Saccharomyces cerevisiae S288C: one gene and its partners. Changing the gene in region 1 together with any one later gene gives a genetic interaction. Each region holds a gene or a part of one and is shown in the gene's direction. Other genes may lie near its edges. The genes, in order: PLP2, PTC3 and YAP7.

Region 1 (3,432 bases):
GAAGTACAATGCACAGGGAAATAAATCACCATATCTGACGATCATCTTGCTAGTTTCTAAGTTCGGAACATCTTGTCTATGCGCCAATAAAACTAGTTTTACATCGTACAGAAACACTGTCCACTTAGAACTGGACACTTGTTTGCCCAGTATAGTTCTGATACTATTATTATGTATAATTCCCTCAATATTAAGCACTTTATGCAAACGTGTTGGCCCATTGAGGCATTGATATACGGCAAGTAATAGCACCTTTTGCTTCTTACCTTTATCAATTTGGAAATAATGTTCGAATTCTATTTTATTTTGCAGAATCCTTAGTATATTTTCTTCGTCGAACTTTTGTACACTATTTAGCTGAAACTTCATAAGCTTTCCGCTCAAATTAACCTTTGCATTTGTTGATGTCTGGCTATTCATTGGGGATGGGACCGGCTGGTGAGTGGACCTCTTACATTGTAATGATTTGTTCCTTTTCTGTAAAAGTTGTAGAAACGCGTCGTAGTACTTCTGCAAGTCGGCAAGAATGGGTTCAATCTGCTGAACGTCCAAACTAAAATCCTCCAAAAGATGTCGCATTTGATTTTCAATCATTGACAATCTCTTTTTATAGCCCAATGTAATACGATCGGCTTCGACAATTTCATCTTCTGAGTACTCAACTACCGAATCGTGGTCCAAATACATCTTGCCAAATTTTGTTTGTTGCATAGTTTCACTGATATACAATTCACCTGAATTTACCACCGACAGAACATATCCATTTCTCTGCTATGGAGTATCAATGTAGTCTTGTTACATATTACGACACAGTTTTCTTTCCTTTAAAATAAACGCGTCGTTCTCATCTCATGTGAAAAACTATATCAATAATATAAAAACATAAAACCCCTATAATTTATGAACATCTACTGCATTTAGATAAACCCTTACGAACTATATGTTTTAAAATAAAATACACGCATGCGAAATTTCTATTACTACCTAAACCGCATTTCTAATACAAAATGAGAAAAACCCAACAGTGAATAACCATATAGTGTCTAACGTAATCTTAAGTCACTGACGACAAATTCGCCATCACCAAGATGTTGGGTGTTTCCGACACGTCTCACAATAAACTGCTTGGAGTCCTTGACGTAATCAACTATAGTGACAGAGGTGTTGAAAACAATGATCTTATGAGCTTGATGATTTTCATACTTTAACCATTGTAAAATCATTCTGATAGCACCTCCATGACTAACTAGGGCTAGATTCTTGACACCTTCATTAGATGCTTCAGCAACTTCTTCTTCGACACATCCAGTTAACCTAGCAACAAAATCGTCACTTTTTTCCCCAAAATTTCTAAAGGAGCCTTCACCATGTTTATCAGCATACTTTTCAGCCTCAGTAATCTGCATACCTTCAATAACACCCATATAACGCTCCCTTAACCCCGAAGTATAGGAAGTAGGCACATTTTCTTGTTTTGAATGTTTCAAAACTAAAGCCGTAGTTTGCCTACACCTTTTTAAATCACTACTGACAACCTTATCAAAATGAATACCTCTTGAACGCAAGTAATGCCCCAATTTAGTGGCTTGTTCTTCTCCCGTAGGATTGATCGAGGTATCTTTGTGACCTTGCAAAATTTTTTTTACATTGTGTTCTGTTTGTCCATGCCTAATAATGAATAATCTGATGATGTTGTTATCGTCATTATCGCAATAATATGGTACTTCCTTAGTCATTCTTGGGTATAAATATATTTTTGGGTGCTTGTATAGCTTCGAGCTTCGTTGCCGCTTTGATCTTACAGTATGAGACTAATTCGAACCAGAATGAATAAAGCAATACTTTATGTTCTACAATTCAAAAAAGAATTAAGTAATATTGTGACGACCTGATTTTCCCATTGTATTAATATCGCTGGAAAAAAAATTACTGAAAAAAGAGGAAATCCCGCTAGAGGAAAAAAAGAAAAGGTTATATGATCGACCTGAAGAAATCTGCAGTACAAGATAACGCCTTCGAGTAAACATCACTGAGAAGAAAGGCATATTCAGCAGACATAATGCAGAATGAACCAATGTTTCAGGTCCAGGTGGACGAATCTGAAGACAGTGAATGGAACGATATTTTAAGAGCGAAGGGTGTAATACCAGAACGTGCACCTTCGCCCACTGCAAAGTTAGAAGAAGCATTAGAAGAAGCAATTGCCAAGCAGCATGAAAATAGACTAGAAGATAAAGACTTGTCGGATTTGGAAGAACTAGAAGACGATGAAGATGAAGATTTCTTGGAAGCTTACAAGATCAAAAGATTAAATGAAATCCGCAAATTACAGGAACGTTCCAAATTTGGAGAAGTTTTCCACATTAACAAACCTGAATACAACAAAGAGGTTACTTTGGCCAGTCAGGGAAAGAAATATGAAGGTGCACAAACCAATGACAATGGTGAAGAGGATGACGGTGGTGTCTACGTATTCGTTCATCTCTCGCTTCAAAGTAAACTACAAAGCAGAATTCTGTCTCATCTTTTCCAATCTGCTGCATGCAAATTCAGAGAAATAAAATTTGTAGAAATACCTGCCAATAGAGCAATTGAAAACTATCCCGAATCCAATTGCCCGACATTAATTGTATATTACCGGGGTGAGGTAATCAAAAACATGATAACGCTACTAGAACTGGGTGGTAATAATTCCAAGATGGAAGACTTTGAAGATTTTATGGTAAAAGTTGGCGCTGTTGCAGAAGGAGACAACAGACTGATAATGAACCGAGACGATGAAGAATCCAGGGAAGAGAGAAAATTGCATTACGGTGAAAAAAAATCGATCAGGTCAGGTATTAGAGGAAAATTTAATGTCGGCATAGGTGGAAATGATGATGGCAACATTAATGATGATGATGATGGATTTTTTGACTAAATAGTGCGAATATTCCTTATTTACAGGCTAAGTGGTGTCACTATCCCCATTATTTAATATATACAGATATAAAGAACAGCAAACTTTGTCATGTACTTCTCTGAATGTTTACGCGAGGATTACGGTATGTATGATTGAACATCGCTGCAGCATGGATTTTAGTAAGAGCCGTTGTCATGGCAACCAATTAAAGCTCTTTAATTACCGTCAAGCATACTTAGGATACAGATACAATAAAACCCCTTATTAAGTTCGAGCAGGCACATCTTGACAGAATAAACCTTTTAAATCGTCATATGGAGCATGGTCTGGTATCAAGTTTTACTACTTTTTCGCTTTGTTGTCAGAGGATAGAAATTTACTTTTTCTAGTTGTGCGTATAAAGAACACTATGGATGCAGTAATACAGAAAGTAATCTGTTCTACTTCGGTGCATTTTCAAACTGAATTCTACCACAAACCCCAGAATTATTATTATGAGTGAAAAGAAGAAAGTTCTAATGCTACATGGT
Region 2 (3,779 bases), on another chromosome or scaffold:
ATGGGCGCTGAAAACGGATTCCGTGATGACGAAGACCATGAAATGGGTGCCAATAGGTTTACTGGAAGAGGTTTTAGATTAGGGTCAACCATCGACGCAGCAGATGAAGTCGTAGAAGACAACACTTCACAATCACAACGTAGACCAGAAAAAGTCACAAGAGAAATTACATTTTGGAAGGAAGGTTTTCAAGTGGCCGATGGTCCGCTTTATCGCTATGATGATCCTGCGAACAGTTTCTATTTGAGCGAGTTAAATCAAGGGAGGGCTCCATTAAAGCTCTTAGATGTGCAATTTGGACAAGAAGTTGAAGTTAATGTATATAAAAAATTAGATGAGTCTTATAAAGCTCCGACGAGAAAACTGGGCGGTTTTTCAGGCCAGGGCCAAAGACTAGGATCTCCTATCCCGGGTGAATCGTCACCTGCGGAGGTTCCAAAGAATGAGACACCCGCTGCTCAGGAACAACCCATGCCGGACAATGAGCCAAAACAAGGCGACACCTCCATCCAAATTAGATACGCAAATGGCAAAAGAGAAGTTTTGCACTGCAATTCCACAGATACAGTAAAGTTTTTGTATGAGCATGTGACATCAAATGCGAACACTGACCCATCGAGGAATTTCACCTTGAATTATGCCTTTCCTATCAAACCAATAAGCAACGATGAGACAACATTGAAGGACGCTGATCTGCTGAACTCCGTTGTCGTGCAAAGATGGGCATGAGCATAAATATACAAAAACAGAAACGGGAAAAGACTTCAACTTAATATATAAATGCACGTATATCTATACCCGTAGTATATATCATTTGTACCTCAATACAATTTCAAATCACCTGTTATTTGATCCAATACTGCTTTTGGAGCAGGTCCTAAACCCAATACGGTGGCACTTCCCGCAGCAATCTGTGTTCTACCAGCATCATGAATAACTGCTGCATTCACCCCAAGTGATATAGCCTTCGCATACAACTCGTCCATTGTAAACTTATCTGGACATTTCAACGTTATTTTAGCCTGTCCAGCATTTAGCCATCTTTGTGTCATAATTGGGTTGTATGAAGCACGCGCGGGGTTTGTAGCAATATGTCTAAAACATGACAATGCTGCGTGACAGCATTGTGCCGCTATTTTGCCCTTTGTCATGCCAAGATCTTGACGAATCACCAATGCCATCCTAACTTCTCCAGGTATATCATTCAATGAAGTGGACTCAATATCTTCGTCCTCATCGCTCTCATCTTCGCTTTCACTTTCCTCCTCATCAGTGTCATTGTGTAGCTTTCCTTCCTTCATTTCTTTAGAACGCAGTAAAGTAGCTGAGGATTTCTTAGTTGATGATGCGTTCGACGTACCCAACTGGTAACCCACGGCAAAGGAGATTGCGGTGAAAGTAGCCCATAAAGCTATGGTGTAATTCGAAGAAACTGTCATCTTTTCCATTAAAAAGACGTTATCATGTTACTCCGCTGTCAACAAGTAATATAGCAAGAAACAATTAGCTCTTATGCTTAAGAGCTTCTAGAAGAGTAGTAATAACCTTTAAACATTATTTTCGTCAGGCGTGATATCAGCGAGTTGAAGAAAAAACAACATGGGTTGTCCCTCAAGAGAATAAACTCAAAGGAGTAAAAGGTGTTTAGAGCTTGTTGGCTCGATTGTTGCCACCGGAAGGCCCCTTTCTGTTTTTAGACTATATTCATTTTACTTTTTGAAGTTTCTATTATAGGCAGACGAAGAAGGCCAAGAAGACAAATCGAAGAAAGAGAGAGATAACATGGGTCAAATATTGTCCAATCCAATTATCGACAAAGAGCATCATTCTGGTACGGACTGTTTGACAGCGTTTGGACTATGTGCCATGCAAGGCTGGCGTATGTCCATGGAAGATGCCCATATTGTTGAGCCGAACCTTTTGGCTGAGTCTGACGAGGAACATCTCGCATTTTATGGTATATTTGACGGTCATGGTGGTTCTTCTGTAGCGGAGTTTTGTGGCTCTAAAATGATATCTATACTGAAAAAACAGGAGAGCTTCAAGAGCGGTATGTTAGAGCAGTGCTTAATAGATACCTTTTTAGCTACAGATGTTGAGTTGTTGAAAGATGAAAAATTAAAAGATGACCATAGTGGTTGTACAGCAACTGTGATATTGGTATCTCAATTGAAAAAGCTACTAATTTGCGCCAATTCCGGTGATAGTAGAACAGTTCTATCTACTGGTGGTAATAGTAAAGCAATGTCATTTGATCATAAGCCCACATTGTTAAGTGAAAAATCTCGTATTGTAGCTGCTGATGGTTTTGTTGAGATGGACCGTGTTAATGGAAATTTAGCGTTATCAAGAGCCATAGGTGATTTTGAATTCAAATCTAACACAAAATTGGGACCTCATGAGCAAGTCGTTACATGTGTTCCTGATATCATTTGTCACAATTTGAATTATGATGAGGATGAATTTGTTATTTTAGCATGTGATGGTATTTGGGATTGTTTAACTTCTCAAGAGTGTGTTGACTTGGTTCACTACGGTATAAGTCAAGGTAATATGACGTTGAGCGACATTTCATCTAGAATCGTAGATGTTTGTTGTTCACCCACAACTGAAGGCTCAGGAATTGGCTGTGATAATATGAGTATTTCCATTGTTGCTTTACTAAAGGAAAATGAATCTGAGTCACAATGGTTTGAGCGTATGAGATCAAAAAATTACAATATCCAAACGTCTTTTGTCCAAAGAAGGAAAAGTATTTTTGATTTCCATGATTTTTCGGATGATGATAACGAAGTGTTCGCAATAACCACCAAAAAATTACAAGACCGCTTGAATCGTAGTAAAGATAATGACGACATGGAAATTGATGATCTTGATACCGAATTAGGCAGCAGTGCTACTCCCTCAAAGTTATCAGGTGAGGATAGAACTGGCCCTATTGACTTGTTTTCGTTGGAGGCTCTATTAGAAGCCGGGATTCAAATAAGGCAGAGGCCCAGCTCCGACAGTGACGGCAACACTTCTTATTTCCATGGTGCTTCTTTATCAGATATGTTGGCATCTTTAAGCAATGCGGCTGCAGGAGAAACAGAACCTAATGATGCTGATGATAACGATGATAACGACGGCGAAGAAAACGGCAAGAATGAAAATGCGAAGAAGGGTTCCAAGATTGAAGAAATTGAATAATAAATATTGTCGAACCGTACTTTGCAACGAAAGAGTAGTCAAACTTTGTTATCTTTATTTGTTATTCCTCTTCTGCCGATGGATTGTTTTTTACTGGATCATCTTTGCGGCCCATATTGAGGAGATGGTGAAATTCATAAAAATCATTACGAGAGAATGATAAATTGTAACAGAATTTATAAATCCTATTCATATAGATACATCTGTTTTTCCTTACTCTGTTTTTATTTTGTTGGTAACCTTTGAATCCTTTTTGATGAAAAAAATAGAAAAAAAAAAAAAAAAAAAATGAAAGCAATATCGACTGTATGTATATGCGCACCATAATTTTCCTATTAATAGTTTAAGCATAATTAGTGTACTTACTAAAAATAATGTAACTTTGCTCTTTGCACCAATAGATGTTACTCTCCAAATATCTTACAGGTCGTCTTCCACGTGGTATCTATCAAAGTAGCCAGATCCACGTCCTTGACTTCCGATACGACAATTGCTACTTGTTCCATATTACAAGGCTCATTACGGCCCTTGACCATGTAAAGTTCTTCTGCATTCAACTTGTCAGCGAGCTTATTTTTCTTAACGGACTT
Region 3 (3,305 bases), 580 kb from region 1:
AAAGTTTCTACTAAGCTTTTGATTAAATTTGCTCAGGGTTACGAGTTGTCTAGAAGAGAGAGGAACCAATTGAGGAGGACAATGGGCGATGTGTTTAGGTTGATCCCTTTTTCAGCGTTCCTTATTATTCCATTCGCCGAACTATTTTTGCCTTTCGCTTTGAAACTCTTCCCCAACTTACTACCCTCCACTTACGAATCCGGCAAGGATAAGCAAGCCAAGAGAAATAAGCTCATCGAGATCAGAAAAAAGACATCCGAATTCTTGCATGAGACTTTGGAAGAATCCAATTTGATCACTTACAACACCATTGAAAATGCAGAGAAGAAGCAAAAATTTTTGAATTTTTTCCGGAAGCTTTATTCTGCCAAGGAAGGTAAGATTATGACTTTCCAACACGATGAAATAAGCGCCATTGCGCAAATGTTCAAAAACGATAGCGTTTTGGATAACTTGTCAAGACCACAATTGGCAGCAATGTCGAAGTTTATGTCACTAAGGCCATTTGGTAACGATAACATGCTTCGTTACCAAATTCGTTCCAAACTAAAGGATATAATGAACGACGATAAAACTATTGACTACGAAGGCGTTGAAAGTTTATCGCAAGAAGAGCTGTATCAAGCTTGTGTGTCTCGTGGTATGAAAGCGTACGGTGTATCCAAGGAGGACTTGGTCGATAATCTAAAAGTTTGGCTAGAATTGAGACTGAGACAAAAAATCCCATCCGTCTTGATGGTTTTGAGTTCCACGTTCACGTTTGGAGGACTTCCAAAGGAGAACTATTCAAAGGCATTCTCGCCACTAGCTGAAAAAAAAGAAACAAAAAGCAAATATGACGACCTTTTGGATCTGTACTACGACGGTATATTACAAGTGCTAAGTTCCATTCCAGATCCCGTTTACAACGTCGCAAAACTAGATGTATCTGAATCGAAATCATCCGCTGCTGAAACTGAAGCTGAAAAGCAAGTTGCTGAAAAGAAGATAAAGACGGAAGAAAAACCCGAGGAAACTGCTATACCGAAGGAAGAAGCCACCGCAAAAGAGTCTGTTATAGCTACCACCGCTTCTGCGGTTACTCCTAAACTAGTCGTAGTTAATGAAAAGGCAGAAACAGCGAAGACAGAGGAAATATCTCAGGAAAAAGAGAACGCAGAGCCTACCGACTCTGCGGAAGCCACGGAAGCTGAAGAAAAGAAGACATCCGACGATAACGAGTTCAAATTGAACGTTTTGAAGGAGCAAGAAGAACTAATAAAGAAGGAGGAAGAGGAAGCTAAGCAAAGAGCTTCGAGAGAGCATGTGCCAGATGATATCAACCTAGATGAAGAGGAAGAAGCAAAATCTGTACCTCCCATTCCGGCCGATCAAGCTGCGAAGACTTTTGTCATTAAGAAAGATTGATATTAGATCAAAGCCTAAGAAAAAAACTAAAAAAAACTAAAAAAAAAAAGTCAATCGGTTCTCTTTTCTCTGACAACAATGGCAAAAGATCAAAGAGAAGCGTACGTCACGGCAAAACCAGCGACCCTTCAAAACTAAATTATTATGCATGTATATAATAGACACCCTATCTAAACTACCGCCTTATTTTTTTTTTTATACAGGAGCAAAGTGTCTTTTTTGTGATGGCCACGAGGGTCCTTTCACTCATGACTCCTTAATCAGCATCTTATGAGCTGGATTTTCATATATCGGCGATTTTTTTCATCGGTAATGCACGCAGTAAAGCTGCTCGCTCGAGAAAAATTAGTAATATATGGAAGAAGAAGCATAAGCATAAAAGAGAAAATCCGCTGCCCCACCGTAGAAAGCAAACAAGGCTATTGGTTATTCCTCTTTTCACCTGTACTTCAATCTGTAGCACATCATCATAAGAGGCTTGAAAGTTGCTCAAGAACAGTTTCAACGGTTTTTTCTTTTGAAATTTGAAAATTGCTCTTCGTTTGTTGAGCCGTTATCAAGGAAGTAAATCATCAATTAAAGAATATAGAAAGGCACAAAATTTTGTCATTTACGCACACTTTCAATGGATCATGAGACAACGAAGGTCTGTAGTAGCAGTTAGCGTAAAGCCCAAAGGCTTCAAATTGGGGCATAAACAGGGTTCCATGTCTACGACGTCTCCACCTCCATCCTCACCAGATGGAAATGTGAGTACATCAGGACCGTCAGCTATTAAGTTATCCAAGAATTGGGAGTTACCACAGCGCCTAAAACCGGGCCGCAAACCGAAATCCAAGCGCGGGGATGCATCAGCTAATAATGATGGATCGTCCAAGATAAAGAAGGTTCAAACTTCCAACCAGAAAGACCAAATGACCACAAAAGATCATGAGAACGAAGGCGCAAAAGGTCATGAGGGGAAATCTGATGATGAAGGCAACGGAAGTGGTGATGAAAACGGTGTCGATAGCGTGGAAAAGCGAAGGAGGCAAAATAGAGATGCGCAAAGAGCATATAGGGAACGCAGAACAACAAGAATCCAGGTTCTGGAAGAGAAGGTTGAGATGCTACACAATTTGGTCGATGATTGGCAAAGGAAATATAAACTGCTGGAATCTGAGTTTTCCGATACAAAGGAAAACTTGCAAAAATCAATAGCATTAAACAACGAATTGCAAAAAGCCTTGCCTTTGATTGTTAATACTCCATTTCAACAGCAGCCAGAAAACCCGCCAGACAATCCTATTTCGATATTAGAAATGGTAGAAAACTTTAAACCAATCGGCGCTGTCAGTTTAAAAAAAGGAAAGCTGAAGGCCCATTGTTAACATCTCATGTGCCCGCGGTATTAACAGACCAGTCTTTGTCTGAGATTGATATAGCCAACGATTATCAATATCTGAGCGGCAGACAGTTTAGTTCAACGAATTCATCGCTTGATGGCCATATTAATTCACCTCTGTCTTCATGCAGCAGCAGTATCAATGCATGTGCAGGCAGTGGCAACAAAAAAATAAAATGTTGTAGGAATAAAGATGCCATGAAACCAGTAACATGTTGCAACCAAAAGAATAACATAATGCCATCCTTAGTCCCCGTTTGCTGTTCAGAAAAGAAAATAGAATCCGATGCTAAGAAATCAATATCGAAATGCTGTGGAGACAAAGAAATCTACGATAGCGAGAATAGACCGATCACTAAAGAGGATGGGTCATGGATACCTGGAAGCTGCAAGCAATGTAGATCAGACCCCCATAGTAGGAATTTTTGTCAATCACTTTCGAATAAATGTAGTTCAAGCTCTTTCTCTTCCAACAGTGCGTTGTCACCGGATCTAAATGAACAACAAACTGACG

Evidence for each region.
Region 2: of PLP2 (region 1) and PTC3, extra expression of one rescues a mutant of the other (dosage rescue), as found in Saccharomyces cerevisiae (one study listed by BioGRID).
Region 3: of PLP2 (region 1) and YAP7, extra expression of one rescues a mutant of the other (dosage rescue), as found in Saccharomyces cerevisiae (one study listed by BioGRID).

Annotation. Positions count from the first base shown.
Region 1 is NC_001147.6:845,757-849,188, reverse strand, and holds PLP2 (Plp2p), read left to right. Parts: upstream 1-2,059; coding exon 2,060-2,920; downstream 2,921-3,432. Other genes in the region: HUA2 (Hua2p), read right to left, coding at 1-711; YOR283W (phosphoglycerate mutase), read right to left, coding at 1,044-1,736; FSH3 (putative serine hydrolase), read left to right, coding at 3,397-3,432. UniProt on the Saccharomyces cerevisiae protein: Essential for cell growth. Inhibits early G-protein signaling events following pheromone stimulation. Inhibits the folding activity of the chaperonin-containing T-complex (CCT) CCT2 which leads to inhibition of cytoskeletal actin folding.
Region 2 is NC_001134.8:111,980-115,758, forward strand, and holds PTC3 (type 2C protein phosphatase PTC3), read left to right. Parts: upstream 1-1,782; coding exon 1,783-3,189; downstream 3,190-3,779. Other genes in the region: protein phosphatase regulator SHP1, read left to right, coding at 1-729; PTH2 (aminoacyl-tRNA hydrolase), read right to left, coding at 822-1,448; YBL055C (3'-5'-exodeoxyribonuclease), read right to left, coding at 3,594-3,779.
Region 3 is NC_001147.6:270,105-273,409, reverse strand, and holds YAP7 (Yap7p), read left to right. Parts: upstream 1-2,039; coding exon 2,040-2,777; downstream 2,778-3,305. Other genes in the region: ribosome-binding protein MDM38, read left to right, coding at 1-1,407; YOL029C (uncharacterized protein), read left to right, coding at 2,990-3,305. UniProt on the Saccharomyces cerevisiae protein: Probable transcription activator linked to cell cycle that induces transcription activation of genes in the environmental stress response and metabolism control pathways, like the closely related YAP5.